2 linked regions of the Tamandua tetradactyla genome follow. The protein of the gene in region 2 purifies or fractionates together with the protein of the main gene of each other region. This does not show direct contact. Links are inferred from orthologs where the notes say so. Each region holds a gene or a part of one and is shown on either strand. Other genes may lie near its edges.

Region 1 (7,483 bases), on a different chromosome or scaffold from region 2:
GGTGACCACGATGTGAACATCAGTGGAGACGTAATTTCTAAATCATCAGGATGAAAAAAACAGAACAAGGACTAACGTCCAACGAGAAACACACAATCCACAGACAGCGAGAATGGAGGGGAACGAGGCGCGGTGAAAAGCAGGAGAAACCGAAAGGAAGATAAAAGAAACGCTGCACAACAGGTCTCTACTCTGGGGAAATGGAAACAAGTTAGAGCCTGCGGATAAATGACAGATTAGACTGAAAGTGCCCTCGGCCCCGGCCCCGTGCTGTCACAGGACACGCGCTGAGAAGGTCCGAGGCCACGAGAGGGTAAAACAGAAGGGTGAGAAGGCGCAATGGACGGCCATTGCCACAGGGAAACCGCGCGGCCCCCGAAGGGCCGTGAGAGCCGCCACGACCGGGGAGCAATCGCCAGGAAGACGGACCCTCCAGTACGCTGCCAAGTCCTCGTCACGGTCCCCGCAGCGTGCCCAGCGCAGACCCCGCGGGAGGGTGTGGGCCGCGTGCCAGCTGCGTAGGGGCAGCAGCTCCGGGCAGCACGGGGGGAGCCTGGGGGGCCCCAACGCCCACCGGGCTTCGCGCAGAGCACACCCCCCCGGCAGGAGAAAAGTCCCAAGAGACATCACACAGTCTCGTGCAGCCCCCTCCCCCTGACCAGCACACCGTGGGGAGAAGCCACCCACAACAGCCCGCGACATCCCACACACGTGGGAAATAAAACACAAACGTCTTAACTAACGCGCTGACCTGATCTCAGAAGAGACGAGAACACACTCGAATGGCCGCTACCGTGAGCGGCGCACATGGAGCCTGGGTGCGGCTAAAGCAGGGCCTGGAGGGACAGTCAGGGCCGAGCCACCAACCGGAGGGAGACCGGGCGCCCCGCACACCCGAGGCGGGGTGAAGGACAGGCTGCTCACCAGACGGCGCGGCAGAGGCGGGCGGCCCGTGCCTCTTGACACTAGTGTGTGGGCGACGGGGGCAGAAGGGACTCCATGTCAAGTCCTGGAGCACGGCATGAACCAAGGGGCCCCCCAGGACCTCGGGGCTGCCTGGCTGCCCTGCAGCAAGAGGCTACCCACTGCTCTCCCCACCCATCGGTCTGGCTCCCACGGCTCCTGCACCCCTCCCGCACCCTGCCCTCCCCGCCCAGCTCAGCCCTAAGTGCGGATCTGCCCGCTGCCCCCCGCCCACCACCCACAAAGGCTCAGTTCCCATCCCCTTCTCTTCCCTCCCCCCACGTGGAGCATGGGGCCCGGTTTTACAGGGATAAACTTTAAAGTCAAGGAGGGGACAGCAGTGAGCTGCCCGCACCCTCATGAGAGCTTCTGGACACTTCTGACCTGTTGCTGGAAACCTGCTTCCACTGGCCCTCTGCATCCTGTTTGCTCACTGCTCCGGCCTGAGCCCACAAATGGGTGGACAGTGCTGGGCAGGTAAGGGCGTGGATCAGAGGGCAGAGATGGCCTACATGTGGCCTGAACAGGAAGCAACTTGCACCCCAAGTGAGGGAAGGGGTCCGAGGACCCAGGCGGACCTCTGCCCACCAGTGTGCGCCTTCTCGAGCCTCCCGTGCTCACAGCTGCATGCCACCGCTGGACAGCCACCTGCCCCGTCCTGGGCCCACCTGCTCACCTGGACGCCGGCGCAGCCAGGTGCAGTCCTCCACCCTCATCTTCCACATCAGTTCCCTCAGCGGCAGCCGGGCGTGCTTCCCCAGCGAGAGGAACTTCTTCACGTTCCTCAGGAAGCGACACTTATTGTGTCTGGAGCCCCAGAGGCGGGTGGGCACCAGCCGCTGGAGACACGCGCGCAGGAACATGTACACCTGCCACGGGCTGCTGTGCCGACGGAGCAGCTGCACCAGACGCCGCGGCTCCGCGTCCTCCTCGCCGGCTGCCTCCGCTGCCAGCCTGGGGGGCCTCTCCTGGGGCCCGCCCCCTGCCCCGCCCGACAGCAGGCCCCCAGCCTCGGCGCGCCCAGGGGACCCCCGCACGGACGTTGAGGCCCGGCGTGGGCAGTGCGTGCTGAGCAGCGCGCCATATGGGCACCGCGCGTGGTTCTCCAGCAGCTCCCGGAACAGGGGCCGCATTCTCCAGTAGCGCTGGGGCAGGCGCCGCGTCCTCCGGGAGGCCCCGCGGGCGGGCGGCGTCGAGGGCAGGAAGATGGCCTCCACGAGGCGGCCGGCGCCTGCCAGGCTTCCCTGCAAGCCGCTGAGCAGGAAGGAGCGCGGCAGCCGCTCGCTGGCCCGGGCGGAGTACAGGAGGAGCTTGGTCTCGATGTAAGTGTCCCAGGGACCCGACGGCGGTGGCCGTGTGGACGAGGACCGGGTGGCGCGATCGCTGCCCGCCCGCGTGGAAGGGCCACATGTCCCCAACGGCTCGCTCTCCCAAGTGGTGGCAAACGTGGCGGCTCCGGGGATGGCTGTCCCAGTCGGGGTATCGCTGTCCCTCTGCATCTGTACCCGGCCTGGGTCAGCCAGGGCAGCCGGCTCATCGGGCTCCCCAACCGGGTCACGCCTGGGTCTCTTGGCCGAAGACGACCCGCTCGCGCTGCCTCGACGTCGCCTCCGGCTGGGGGCTGCCGCTGTGCCGACCCTCTGCGCTACCTCCCCGGCGCTGGCAGATCGCCGAGCCGAACGGACAGGGGACCAGCCGAGCTCGTAGAGCGGCGCCCCGCACACCTGGTAGGCGCAGCTGGGGGCCACCAGCAGGTAGAGTGCGCAGCGCGTCAGCAGGTGGGCCAGCACGTCGTCCCCAAGGCGGTGCAGCAGCAACCCCCACGCGCCGCTGCCGCGCAGCGTCTCGGTGGCCGTGTTGGGCAGGTAGCTGCGCACGCTCGTCGTGAAGGCCACCGGCGGCCCGTCGCGCGCCTCGTCCAGCAGTGCGAAGCCGAAGGCCAGCACGTTCCTGGTGCCGCGCTCGCACAGGCCCTGCACGACCCTGGCCACCAGCTCCTTCAGGTAGGACACCTGCGGACGCGACGGGGGTTGAGGGGCGTGAGTCGGCGCCCCGGAATGCACGTGCCCCGCGGCACGCCGGCGGGGTGGGGCGAAAAGGGCCCGGCGGGTCCCACCTGTTGGAAGGAGGGGGCAGCGGGGAGCGGCCGCGCGCCCCAGGGCACGCACACCAGGCACTGGGCCACCAGCGCACGGAAGGACGCAGGATCCCCGCGCCGCACCAGCCGCCGGCCCTCGGCCCCCAGGCGCCGGGCGAACTTGGCCAGCGGCAGCACCTCACGGTAGCGCCCGCGCAGCAGCGCGCGCACGGCCCGACAGCGGGGGGCGCGCGGCATCGCGGCGGGGAAGGGCCGGGGCGCGCGAGCCGAGCTCCCACGTGCTGGGGATCCAGGCTCCCGCCGGCGCTGCGAGGAGGGGAGGGGCCGCAGCAGGAAGGGGCGTGGTGGGGCGGGGCCCGGAGAGGAAGGGGCGTGGTGGGGCGGAGCCCTGGGCGGGGCGGGGGCGGGACCTGCGCGCACCTGTTCCCCGCCGGGGATCTGGGCGGGCACTCGAGGGCCGCATCAGGGCTGAGCGCAGGCGGAGTCTGGACGCACCCGGCTGCTGCAGGGCGACCCCTCTCAGGGCGTCTCCGGGCTCAGAGGCGCGGCGGGCGCGGGGCGCAGAGTGCGGCCTCTCTGCCAAGAGGATCCGGACTTAGCCGGGGCGGCGGACCTTCGGATGGGGTCCACAGGGAGCTGGGGGTCTCTGCGCCCCTGAGGAGAGGGCGTTCTGCTACTCCCTTCCTCGGAGGCCCTCGGCCCCCGCGCGGCTGGTGCCACGGAAAGGGACGATGGCAGCCAGCCCTCCCTACAGCACGTTCCCGACCGGGTCGGAATCGCAGCCCCACCACGCGCCAGGGTCCCCTTTTCGGGGTCCCCTTTTCAGGCTCCTGCCGTGGTGGGGACAGTAAACAGCAAACCAAAGCCGTTCCTGGTGTAATCTGCCCCACCCCCACCCCCCGGCCAAGGGGGCAGCTCTCCCCTCAGAACCCACTTCACGGGCAGGGGCCCACTGGGCCGCGAGGGAGGTGTGATCCCACAGCCCGGCCCCCCTTTACCAGTTACCCCTCCACCGCTTGAGGGTGCACAGGCTGAGGTCACGGGGCGGGGGCACAGACGGGGCGGCCTCAGTTCACCTCCTTCACGACACTCCACGGGACTCGACTTTAAACCCACACTTGGGGCGGTCAAGTTTGAGTCACCAAGTGGAGACACTGGGGGTCTCTGGAGTGGAGCTGGGAGTTTCGTAAACGCTGAAACGCTGAGCAAACGTGACCTTTCCAACCTGAGCAGCTGGCGAGGCCGTCGCTGCGCATTTACCCTGTCCGGGCTGCGGTAAATGCGCAGAGCTGTCTGGAGCCGTTTCCGCCGTGCGCTGCGCCAGCTCCTGCCTCGGCAAGGCGGTGTTGGACAACCGCTTAACTGTGCGGCGAAGGATTCGCGCTGCTTTGGAGAACGTGCGCTTTCCCAACAGAGAAGTGGCTGCCCCAACACAGAACCTTCAACAGGCGCCACGAACGGGGCGTCAGAAGGCGCAGCTCATCCTTAAAGGGAGCGGGAGAAACTGAGGCAGGGCAGAGCGCCGGCCAGGCCCACGCCACCATCCCAGTGACAGAACAGCTCATCCCCTGGCTTGGGCCAGGGCTCTGACGTGCCTTTGTCGGGACGTGACTCAGTCTACCCCAGTTGGCTGGAACACAGGCCAGCCACAGAAAAGCGCTCTAGCCCTTCCACGGCAGGGACGGGCGGCAGTGCTGAACGCTGCGCCCCAGCCAGAGACAGCGGCGTGCACGCAGGAAGGCCCTGTTTTCAATCCCAGGAGGGGGGCGCCAAGGTGGCCGCCTCCAGGGCGGTGTCCACGTGCTGACCACACCGGGAGGTGAAGGGAAACCCAGCAACCCGCGCAGGGCGGGCAGTGAGTCGCTTCAGCCCTGAGTAAGGAGAGAAATAAGTGGCCCCCACGCCACAGGCCTGCGTGTACAACCCACCCCTGGGAGATCCTGAGGGAAAGGGGCAGGCTCGGGGTTCCACAGCGCTGCGGGGGTCTCCCGTGGGTTTGGGGGGCTGAAGGCGCAGGTCTTGGGGTGGGGTGCCGTGGGCGGGGCTGGTCACGCCGTCCTGGCGTGCTGGGTGCGCGCTGCGGAAAGGGGGAGGACTGGCCGCGTCTCAGCCGTCTGCGGCTCCAAAATGGGTGCCGTGGGACTTAATGGGAGTAAGCTCCCATTCTAAGGGAAAGTACATGCAAGGATGTGGGGTCCACGGCACACCCCACTGTATACAGGGTGCCCATGCTGGACGCCGGACACAGCACCCCCACCCCCACCCCGGGGGCTCACTCCCAGCGCTCTGTTCTCTCACTTGTGGCTTTGAAATCCTTATGACCCCCAGGGAATTGGCACCTGTAGGTGCTGTAACAGTGACCTGGCACACAGCAGCTGGGGGCCAGAGGTCCAGCGACCTCGCTCGCCAGGTGCAGGTGCACAATTGTCCTGGAGGCTTGGGAAGACCCGCCCCTAGCCTTTTCCGGCCTCGGGGGGCTCATGGCTCCTTCCTGCACTCTCAAGCCGATGCCCTCTCTGACCCCGAGTCCTGCTTCCTGGCTCTGCTGTCCACTGCAGTGACCCTGCACCCAGGAGACTCTCCCTACTCCAGGTCGTTTCGCCCCAGAAGGCAGCACGCTCCCAGGTTCCCAGACACTTTCCGAGGGCCCCGGTGTCCTGCACCGAGACAAACACCACGCCCTGGGCTGGTTAAGCACGGGCACTCTGCGGCTCAGGGTTCCGAGGCTGGAAGGCTCCGTCCCATGTGTTCGGGGGTTTCTGGCAGTGCTGGGCCCTGGTGCCACCCCCGCCTTTTGCCTCGGCTCTGTGACCTCCAGCTTCTCTTCGTGGCCTTCTATCCCGGGGGCAGGATGCAGCCTGGCTCGGGTGGCCACACATTGACCGAGGCTGACAGCTTCAAGGGGCCTGTTTACAGTGTTTCTTCTGGGTCCTCAGTCTGCCTGGGGGCTGCCCTCAGCCCCAGCTGTGACGTCTCTGTGGCTGTGACACTGCCTGGGCATCCGCCTGCGTCTGTTCAGTTTGCGTGGCCTCCGGCTTGATCGAGGCTGGGAGCTGAGCCCCAATACCGAGCAGGCCCCCATGTGCCTCCCGCCCCTCGCCGCATCCCCTGGTGACCCCGGCCCTTCTCCAGCTCTAATTTTGTCGATTGGAGAGCGCGACAGGAATGGAATCACACATGGCCTTTGGGGCGGGCTTTCTGCCCTCGCCACGCGTCCGGACACTAGCCTGGCGCTGCTCAGAATCCGTGGCTTTGGCTGTGGGGCCGTGTTGTGTGCCGTGGGGGTGCCACGGCGTGTCCACACGCTCCCCGGCGAGGGCGAGTGGCCTGTCCCGCAGGTGCAACGACAGTGCAGTGGCCGCGCCCGGTCACGCTTCCCACCGCCCAGGGCGAGCGCGCAGGGGCTGCGGTAGGGGAGGTGCTTGCCCAGTTTGGTGCCCCGCATCCCGCTGCCCGCAGCCGTCCCCGGTGGACAGCCACGGCCCACCCTGGTCCGACGACCTGTCCCCGCTTCCCGGCTGCTGGGGTGCGGCAGGCAGCGTATCGAGGCCGCAGTGTCTCGAGGCCGCAGGCTGCCTTCCCCCGGGCCTGTGTCCCCTGGCCACCGGCAGTCCTTGGGCCTCTTGGCTTTTCCCTCCCATGGCCGTGCAGGGGGTGGTGTCTTCCCTGTCCATCTGGGTCCCGTGGACGTCTGTCCAGCTTCTGCACTGGGCCCCTTAGGAATGGGGTGCCGGCAAGAGCGAGTTTTCCTGCGGTGCGAGCTCCACGCCACCGCGGGGCCTGCACAGTGTAGACAGCTGCCCACCAAGACCGCCCCTGCGGGCCTGGAACCAGGCAGTGGCCACCCGCTGGCACCAAGGCCAGCCCCGTGGCCGTGGCCCACCCAGCCCTGGGCTCTGGTCACCTGGAGCAGCAGAGCCCGAGCTCCTGCGTCCCGCCTCGGCGCTGAGGGCCACCCCCCGTGTTAGGTCCTGGGTGCCATGATCTGGGTGCCGCCCCCCATGTTAGGTCCTGGGTGCCATGACCTGGGTGCCGCCCCCCGTGTTAGGTCCTGGGTGGGAGGGGCCAGGCAGGGCCGGTCCAGGCACTGGACGGGCTCCTGTGGACGGGGCCCGGGTGGCCGACGGCGCCCGTCTCACCACATCCGCTGGGCTCAGGGGCCCTCCCGGCTCGTGGAGGCCCACAGTGGGCTTCAGTCACTGGGGGGTGAGGGGAGTGTGGGGGCGGGGCCTGGCTGGGGCCATGTTAGGGAAGTGTGGCTGCTGGAGGCCTCTGCATGGAGGGGCTCCCCTCACAGGCCCCGGAGTGGCCGAGGCATCTCCCAGCTCTGGGCATGGGACCCCGTGCTGCAGCAGGGGACCCCTACGCAGCCTGGGATTGGTTGTGCTCTGCAGCCTGGGTTGAGTCTGTCTTCTGCCTGAA
Region 2 (8,191 bases):
TGATTCCTTTGGGAGAGAAATCTGGAGGCTTACATCTAATTTCCATTGGACTTTGCCCTATGCACCTTTTCCCTTTGCTGATTTTGCTCTGTACCTTTCATTGTAATAAATCTCAGCTACAAGTATGACTATTTGCTGAGTCCTGTTGAGTATTCCTAGTGAATCACTGAACTTCCTGAGGGTGGTCTTGGGGGCTCTAGACATCGCCTACTGTAATGGATAGCACTGTAATGGATGGATAGGGCTGGGTCTCAGGGTAGAGATTTCTGAATCTGCAGAGTCTCTGGAATGATATGTTTAACTATCTGTTTAATTTGCCAGGGCTGCTATAACAAATACCATAAGCTGGCTGGCTTAAACAACAGGAATTTAGTGGCTCACAGTTTGGAGGTGAGAAGCTCAAAAATCAAAAGTATTGGCAGACCACACCTTCTCTGAAGTCTACAGCATTCTGATGATGGCTTGCTGGAAATCAATCTCTGCCTCTATCACATGGCAATCTGTCTCTGTTCAGATTTCCTCTCTTTCTATAAGAACTTCAATCTTATTAAGCTAGGTTCCACTCTGATTCAATCTGGCCTCATCTAAAGAGAATCTCTGAGTGAGTTCACCCTCACAAGACTAGGGAGTTGAAACTTGAACATGCCTTTGGGATGGGGGTAGGGGGACATGATTCAATCTACCCCACCATCCTCTAGCAGACAGTCTCTTCCTAACTGGAGATCTAATTGTAAATCTCTCCCCCACGAGAATACATCTAGGATAATTCCAATAAAAAAATTTTCTAAACAACAACTGCAAGGGACTTCACTTTTCCATCACTCCATGCCTGCTATAGCATGGCTTATGCCAGGAGTCAGCTTACTCTGAAAGGTATGTTGAGTCCTAAGAGCCAGAAACAAAGATTTTGCTGTTTTTTCCAAAGAGATTTTCAGATATTCAAGAGCTCAAAGTATACCCGCATGAATTCTTTTAAAAAATGTTCAAGATATATTCAAGATTGAGGAAGGTATAATATAAAATTTTCATGTAGTGAGTATCAAGATTATTAACTATATATGTTGTAATTTGTAATTCTAACTGTATTTGTTGTAATTTGGTTACAAAATGTAATACTTGCAAGTGTCAAAAATTGATCTTGAAAAGGTTTTATGAATGAATTAATATCTTAATAACAGTCTGGGTCTAAAACTCCAAATTATATAAAAGTGGGAAGGGTGATAAAATCCTTGTCTTACATAGGGAAGATTCAATAAAATCGCATTTCATAATTAGAGAAATAACAGGATAAAGAATTTTTACGTTTTTGAGAAAAAAGAAAACCACTAGTAGATTAAAAATAGAATAAGTACCTGTGGTGAAGATAACAGAATACAAACTATAGATCATATGGTAATGGAACACAAAGGAAATGGCATTCTTAATAATATGAAAACGCTCGTAATCTAATGCTAAGTATGAAAAAAGCAGGATACAAAAATATACCTATAGAATGATATCATTTTCATAAACTATCAGAGAAAAATAATTACTGGGTAGCAAAATTATGGGTTACTTCTGGGACTTTTCTATGCTTCAAATTCCTCATCTCTAAAATAAGAACATCAACTCTAAATATCTAATCATGTTAATTTAACAAGCTATTTTAAAAGAAACTACAAAATATTATATAAATATTTGAAAATTTGGAATAAATAGTGGGCGAAAAGAAGTGATATCAGTGATTTTTTTATATCAACCTAGTGATGAAGATAATAAAAGAAATTTTTAATAGTCACAGAGAAACTGATCATGGAAACAGTAGAAATGAAGGGCAGAACCAGGGCCAGTGTTCCCAAATGCATGATAATTAAGTAAATCTCAAAAAACATTAAAACCTGAGACTTTAGCCATCTAAGTTCTAGTCTTGACTGTTCATTTTTATAGATGATGAAATAAGAGTCTAGAGGGTCACCATGTAAAACATTCTTTTCTATGAGCCTCAACTTAGAAACGGTAGAAAATCGCTGGTACTAGTGGCAAGAATATAAAGTTCCAAAGATAACTAGGTCAATTTTGCCACCTACTAGCTGAATGATTTTGGACAGTTTATTTTTCTTTGAACTTAAATTTCTGCCCCTGTATAACTGGGGATAGTGCCTTACCCATTTCCTTTCACGCTCCTATTCCTCCATCACCTTAGAAAATAGAATGTTGACATTTATTTTACAAATTTCCTGTGCAACTTGCTGTTGGTCTTTTAATTAAACTTTCTGGTCACTGTTCACTACACAATTTCTTCCAAAAAGCATGAAGCGGTTTTTCATGACCAAAGCACGACTGCCACCTGGTGGCAAGAAACCTTAACTACAAATACCATTCAGAATTTAGCCTCCAGAGAAGGGGATTCAATCAACTTCAATCTATAAAATGATGGTAAATATCAAAGGCAAACTGAAGAAGGCTGGGGCCTACAATCCTGCAATGAAAGAGGGTTAGTAATTCCAAGTCTTGGAAGAGAGCTAGTAATTACAAGCAACCAGTTTCCAACTAAGTCAAAAACGCCAAAGTCTTCCTTATAATTACTTATTAGCCCTGCACCCCGCACCCCCCAAACAAATTTCCTGTGTTTGATGCCTTTTACTCCCTTTGCTTTTCTATTCCTGGGTTCAACATCTTCAAAAATATATTTCACTGGCTGAAGAGATCCGTCTGGACCCAAGTCTTCTTTAACCAGAGGAGGCTGAAAACTGGGCAAGTAAAAGAACGAGTCCGGGTCCCCACGAACGGTGGCGGCATAGCCAGTCTCAGGACACAGTGTGCTGACTTCCATTTGAACAAACCGCGCGCGTCCCCAGGTTTGAGTCTAAGGGCCCGAAGTCTCTCGATGGGACGCTCGCAGTCTCTTTTAATATAGCTAATCCGGTAGCTAACTTTCGTGGAAGGCTGAGGCTGGGAAATCCACGGCGACCCCCAATGGGGTTCCCCGGCCCGACCCCACATCCCGGGCATCTAACGCCTCTGCCCCACCGCACGCCGGCGACTCGCGCTCCCCACCACTCAGTCCCGCCGGGCGCGTTCCCCCGGAATCTTCACCCTCGTGCCCTAATCGGGTTTTCTCGTCCCACACTCACGCTCAGCCAGCATCGACATTTCGGGGCGCTTTATTAGGCCTTGGGACCTAGACGACTGTGGTAACTCGGTGGCCGGTTCGCTGAGAAACCAGAATCGCTGGAGTCGCACGCTGAGGTATGCGGCTTCGGCGAGCGGCGCGCGCTGATGACGTCGTGAAGTGCGACTCACTCCTGCACCTCGCGGCGACGGGTGGGCGGGGCGCGAACCGGCTGGAGGTTGGGGTGGGGAGGCCAGGTAGGCGCGAGGCTGCGGGAAAGGGTGACTGGACCGCGAAGCCGGGAGGGAGGGAGTCGAGGGTAGGGGGTGTAAAGGAGGTGAAGAGAGCCGTGTTCGTTCATTTACCTGAGGAAATACATGTATTAAATGATTGGATATGTGTAAAGCCCTTGTGGGAGTGTCTGCCTCGGAGCAAGCGCTCAATGTGTTACCTTTTTAATCGTCTTCATTAATGACTAAATGTCACGGGCATTGGAAAGAAGACGAACTCTGTCTTCAGGTAGCTCACAGTCTAATGGGAAAAAGAGGGAGACGAGATACGTACGAGATCGTCCTTAGGGTCGCCAGTGTTCTGGCAACGATGTGTACAGATGTTTAAGATGCTCGGTAGGTGGTGAAGACTTTGCATTGTGGTGTGCTATCTCATTTCTTCGTACTTCGCCTCTGCGTTCTGACAGACACATACCTGACCCATACATCCATACGTACGTCTTGGGATCCCGAGTTAAGCAGATGACTCATTCTGGGGAAAATGTTGTCTCTCTTTAAATAATATGATTCCTTCAACAGCACAAAGGTGTTTATTTACTTTCCCCACTATGATGTACGCACTGGAACTTTGCCTTTATCATATTCATCTCCGTTCCCATTCTAGCGTCTAGTAAAATAATTTGAGTATGGCAAGGGTTCCAAAGATGTTTGTGAAATTTGATTAAAGTGCCTTTGTCTCCAGGGGAGTTATAACGGAATTCTGGAATGAGAATTCAAAGATTGAGGCAGACAGACAGTAAGGGCATGTTTTTGGACAGGTGACGTTCCTATGAACTTCAGATGACACTGCAGACAGAGGCCTCCCCCTCATAAGTGGAAGATGGAGTACCACCCAGGTATCAAGAGAAGCTATGTTGAGGACTAGATTCCTACTTTAATGAACTCACCCTTGAACTAGGTGTCTAGACAAACAAGGTAAACTCTGGTTTCATTAAAGTAAAAAATAGTAACACAAAGGAATATTTGCTGCTATCAGTACATAGGTGAGAGTTGAGAGAGGTGAGGAGATGCAAAGTCAATGAACTTTTCACAGCCAAGGCAGAGAGCTGGCAAGTTGTGACATGGGAGGAAAAGATGAAAGAAGGGAGATGGACTTGCCCAAAATTAGGAAAGCAGGATCGCCATGTCTTTCTTAGGATAATTAGAAGATGTTTGATTATACCAGCAAAAATGGAAGGGCAGAAAATAATGAATTGATCAGGAACATCAGCCATATATCTGTACATGATTTGAGAAAGATTGAGGCAGAAGTTTGGTATGCTGTTGCAGTGGTCCAAGTGATAGATGATGAGAACCAAATGAAGACTGTGGGTATGGCAGTGAATGGCAAGGAATGATTGAGATGTCTGTCTTGTGATACAATGAGCCACCTTTCCTGGAAAAGTTCAGTCAGAAACCAAAAACGAATGTTGTAGAGGGGACTGCATTTGGATGGAAGGTTAGACTAATGGTTTCCACCATTTGTTCCCGATTCAGCTTTCTGTGCATTTATGAATGTGATGCCGTAAACTAGAGAAGCCATAAATTCCTAGAAAAGACAAAAAAAAAAAAAAAAAAAAACCCATGTAAGTGTATCTTAAAGCACATGTGCACATTCCTAAGCACAACAGCTGTCTGTACTAGAACCACTCCTGCTGCATATCAGTAACCTCAAAGAGATAGATTCACAATCTTGGAAATCCCAACTTGGCTCTGTGTTGTCCTTGTGCTTACCAGATATGACCCCCTGTAGTCCTCTGGATGTCTTATAGCAACCCAAGACTGGCTTCACGGTTTGCAAGTTCCCTAATAAACTGTTAATATTTTGCAATATGGAGTAGCCTGCTTCATTTGTTGGTCTTCAATGCCCTCAAACTTTGGCAGAACATATTTTGTAGGTTCACAGCTAGACAATGAAATATCTTTGAAGATCACTGTGACAGTTTGAAGCTACTATGAACCCCAGAAAAGCCATGTTTTAATCCTGTACCAGTCTTGTGGGGGAAACAATTTCTTTTAATCCTGACTCAATATTGTAGGGTGGAAACTTTTGATTAGATGATCTCTTTGAAGATGTGGCATGCCCAATTATAGGTCCAACCTTTTGATTAGATGGAGATGTGACTCCACCCATTAAAGGTGGGTCTTCATTAGTTTACTGGAGTCCTTTAAAAGGGGAAATATTTTGAAGAAACCTGAAAGCTGACACAGAGGCAGATGTTTGGAGAACAGTTACTACAGTCTATATGAGACCCTGACATTTGGAGATGCAGCACCCAGCAGACATCACCATATGTCTTCCCATGAGATGCTAAGCAAGCCAGAACCCAGAGTTGTGTCAGAGGAGCTAAATAAGGAACCCTCAAAGGGAACAGAGGCTGAAAGCAATGGATCCCAGGAGCAAGGGACCAGCAGATGCCAGCCACATGCCTTCCCAGCTGACAGAGGTGTTCCTGATGGCATCAGCCTTTCTTGAGTGAAGATAACCTTTTGTTGTTGCCTTAATTTGAACACTTTCATGGTCTTAGAACTGTAAACTTGCAGCTTATTAAATTCCCTTTTTAAAAGCTATTCCATTTCTGGTATATTGCGATCTGGAAGCTTAACAAACGAATACAATTGTTCATTGACAAATATATATAGTTTGCTTTTTTTAAATTACAGAATCTGGTTTATATTTTCAAGTGATCAGCCTCAAGTGGAAACTGTACTTTTAAAAAGAAGATAATTCAGTGTAGGACATTTAGTCTTGTTCTTTAACCTCTCAGCAGACCTCCTAGGATAGATCTTCTTAAACTAATGTGCATGAGAATCACCCAGGGAATCTTGTAAAAACGCGGGTTCTGGTTCAGTAGGTCTGGAGTGCAGCCACAGATTCTGCATTCCTAATAAGCTTCCAAATGATAATCCACAGACCTTCCTTTGTTTAGGTAGCAGGGCTTTAGGGAGACAAAGATATGAATGAACTAAGGGATAAAGTATGCCTTTTTTCCCCATTTAAGGAAAATGCTTTATGAAGAACACCTTTATATGGCAAAGATAAACTCTTTCAAAATACTTCAAATAATTTGACCTAGAACGCACTTGCATAAATCATCTGAGTTAGATTTTTGTCTTCAGGCAGTGAAAACAAACATCAGGGACAGACAGTTTTTCTTTTCTCTAGCTCTTTGGTGAATACCACTCTCTGTCGAGCTCTCTCAACACAAAGACACATGCACACCATTATAAAAGTTAGTTCAACATCTTGTACAATCACAAAAAAGAATTGTCATATATTGCATTATACCTTTATATTTTTCAGCTAAAACAACAAAGTTTTATCTTCAGAAGAAAGAGAGCTAAATCTCGCCAAACTTCCCTCATTTCTAAGAGGCAATAGCTTACTACAGTGTGTAAAAAGAAATATATAATGTAAAAATTAGCACTAGACAAGCAGTTAGAAACTTGACAAAGTCCAGATTCTATACTAACTTGGGGTGTGAGCTTGGGGAAGTCATTTCACTTATTTTGATATTGGTGTCCCAATCTATGAAAAGAGAGAGCTACATGATCTCTGAGATTATTTCCAGATTTGAAAAGACTTTCAGAGACTTGTTTTAGTCAAAAAACATAACTCTGTAATCTGAGTATCAAAGTATAATAGCATAATAGAGAGCTTGTATTCTGAAGCCAAATTTCCTGGGTTCAAATCTTAGCTGTCACTTACTAGCTTTGCAAATCTGCTATGTATCTTGGGTAGATTACTTCACTTCTCTATTCCATTGTTCTTCATCTTCAAAATAAGCATAATAGTACTTTCTTTATTGAACTGTTATGGTAATAATGAGATGATATATGTTAATTGCTTAGATGGCTTCTGACACTCAGAGTACTCAATAGCTATGATAATTTTTAAGGGAGAGAGAAGTTAGGATGATTATTTCAGCAAACTTTTTGTTTCAGGCACCGTGCTAGATTTAGATGCTAGAATAATAAAGGTGAATAAAAACAAACATGACCCCTGCTCTCACTAAGTTTGCTTTCTAGCAGGGAAAATGGACATTAATTGAATGACTACATACATAAGTGCAAAATTATAAATATGATAAATGCTGTGGAGGAGGGATACATGATGCTAGGAAAGAGGATTAGAGATTTCATTTAGTCACGTAAGTCAGAAAAGGAAGTGAAAAGTGAACTAAAACATGACTTATTCAAGGAGTTGATGTGGCTGGAGTGCAGAGCAAGGGAAAGGTTGAGCTGGGTAAGGTCTGAAAGTTGAGTAGAGGCTGGTTCTTACAGGGCCTCTGGGTCTTTGTCTTAAGAGCTATGGGAAGCCATTGGAGAATTTTCAGGAGAGGAGTAACACAAATAGTTTTAAAAAGATCCTGATGGCTGCCTTGTGGAGGAAAATAAATGAGGGGGTAAAGTATGTATGGGGATCCCATTTAGCAATTGTAATAGTTCAAGTGAAAGACGATGACAGCTTAAACTACAGTAGTAGCTGTACAAGTGAAGATTAGTGGTTGAATTAAAAAGACATTTAGAAAGCAAGATCAATAAGAATTGGTGACGACCTGGACAAGCTGGTGTGTGTGTGTGAGAGAGAGAAAGAGAAAAGTATCAAGAATAACTTTAAGGTTCCTGGTTTCTATAACTGAAGTGATGGTATTTTGGGTTAGGAATAAAACTTTTTTAGTTTTGGGCACATTGAACATGATGTGTCTTTGAGTATAGGCATCATCAGTTGGACACATGAGTCTAGAGATCAAAGGAAAAGCTTGGGCTAGAATGAAAAACTGAGTATCACTTGAGTGTAGATGGTAATTGAAGCCATTAGTAGCAGATG

What was found. Proteins that work in one complex are often made in the same cells at the same time.
Region 1: the proteins of PINX1 (region 2) and TERT purify together in Homo sapiens (co-immunoprecipitation; 3 studies listed by BioGRID and IntAct, with this or other methods). This does not show direct contact. The link is inferred for Tamandua tetradactyla from reciprocal best matches to the Homo sapiens genes PINX1 and TERT.

Annotation. Positions count from the first base shown.
Region 1 is NC_135335.1:49,469,354-49,476,836, forward strand, and holds the start of TERT (telomerase reverse transcriptase), read right to left. Parts: upstream 3,299-7,483; coding exon 3,080-3,298; intron 2,976-3,079; coding exon 1,640-2,975; intron 1-1,639. UniProt on the Homo sapiens protein: Telomerase is a ribonucleoprotein enzyme essential for the replication of chromosome termini in most eukaryotes. Active in progenitor and cancer cells. Inactive, or very low activity, in normal somatic cells.
Region 2 is NC_135329.1:32,277,456-32,285,646, forward strand, and holds the start of PINX1 (PIN2/TERF1-interacting telomerase inhibitor 1), read right to left. Parts: upstream 3,310-8,191; 5' UTR 3,133-3,309; coding exon 3,114-3,132; intron 1-3,113. UniProt on the Homo sapiens protein: Microtubule-binding protein essential for faithful chromosome segregation. Mediates TRF1 and TERT accumulation in nucleolus and enhances TRF1 binding to telomeres. Inhibits telomerase activity. May inhibit cell proliferation and act as tumor suppressor.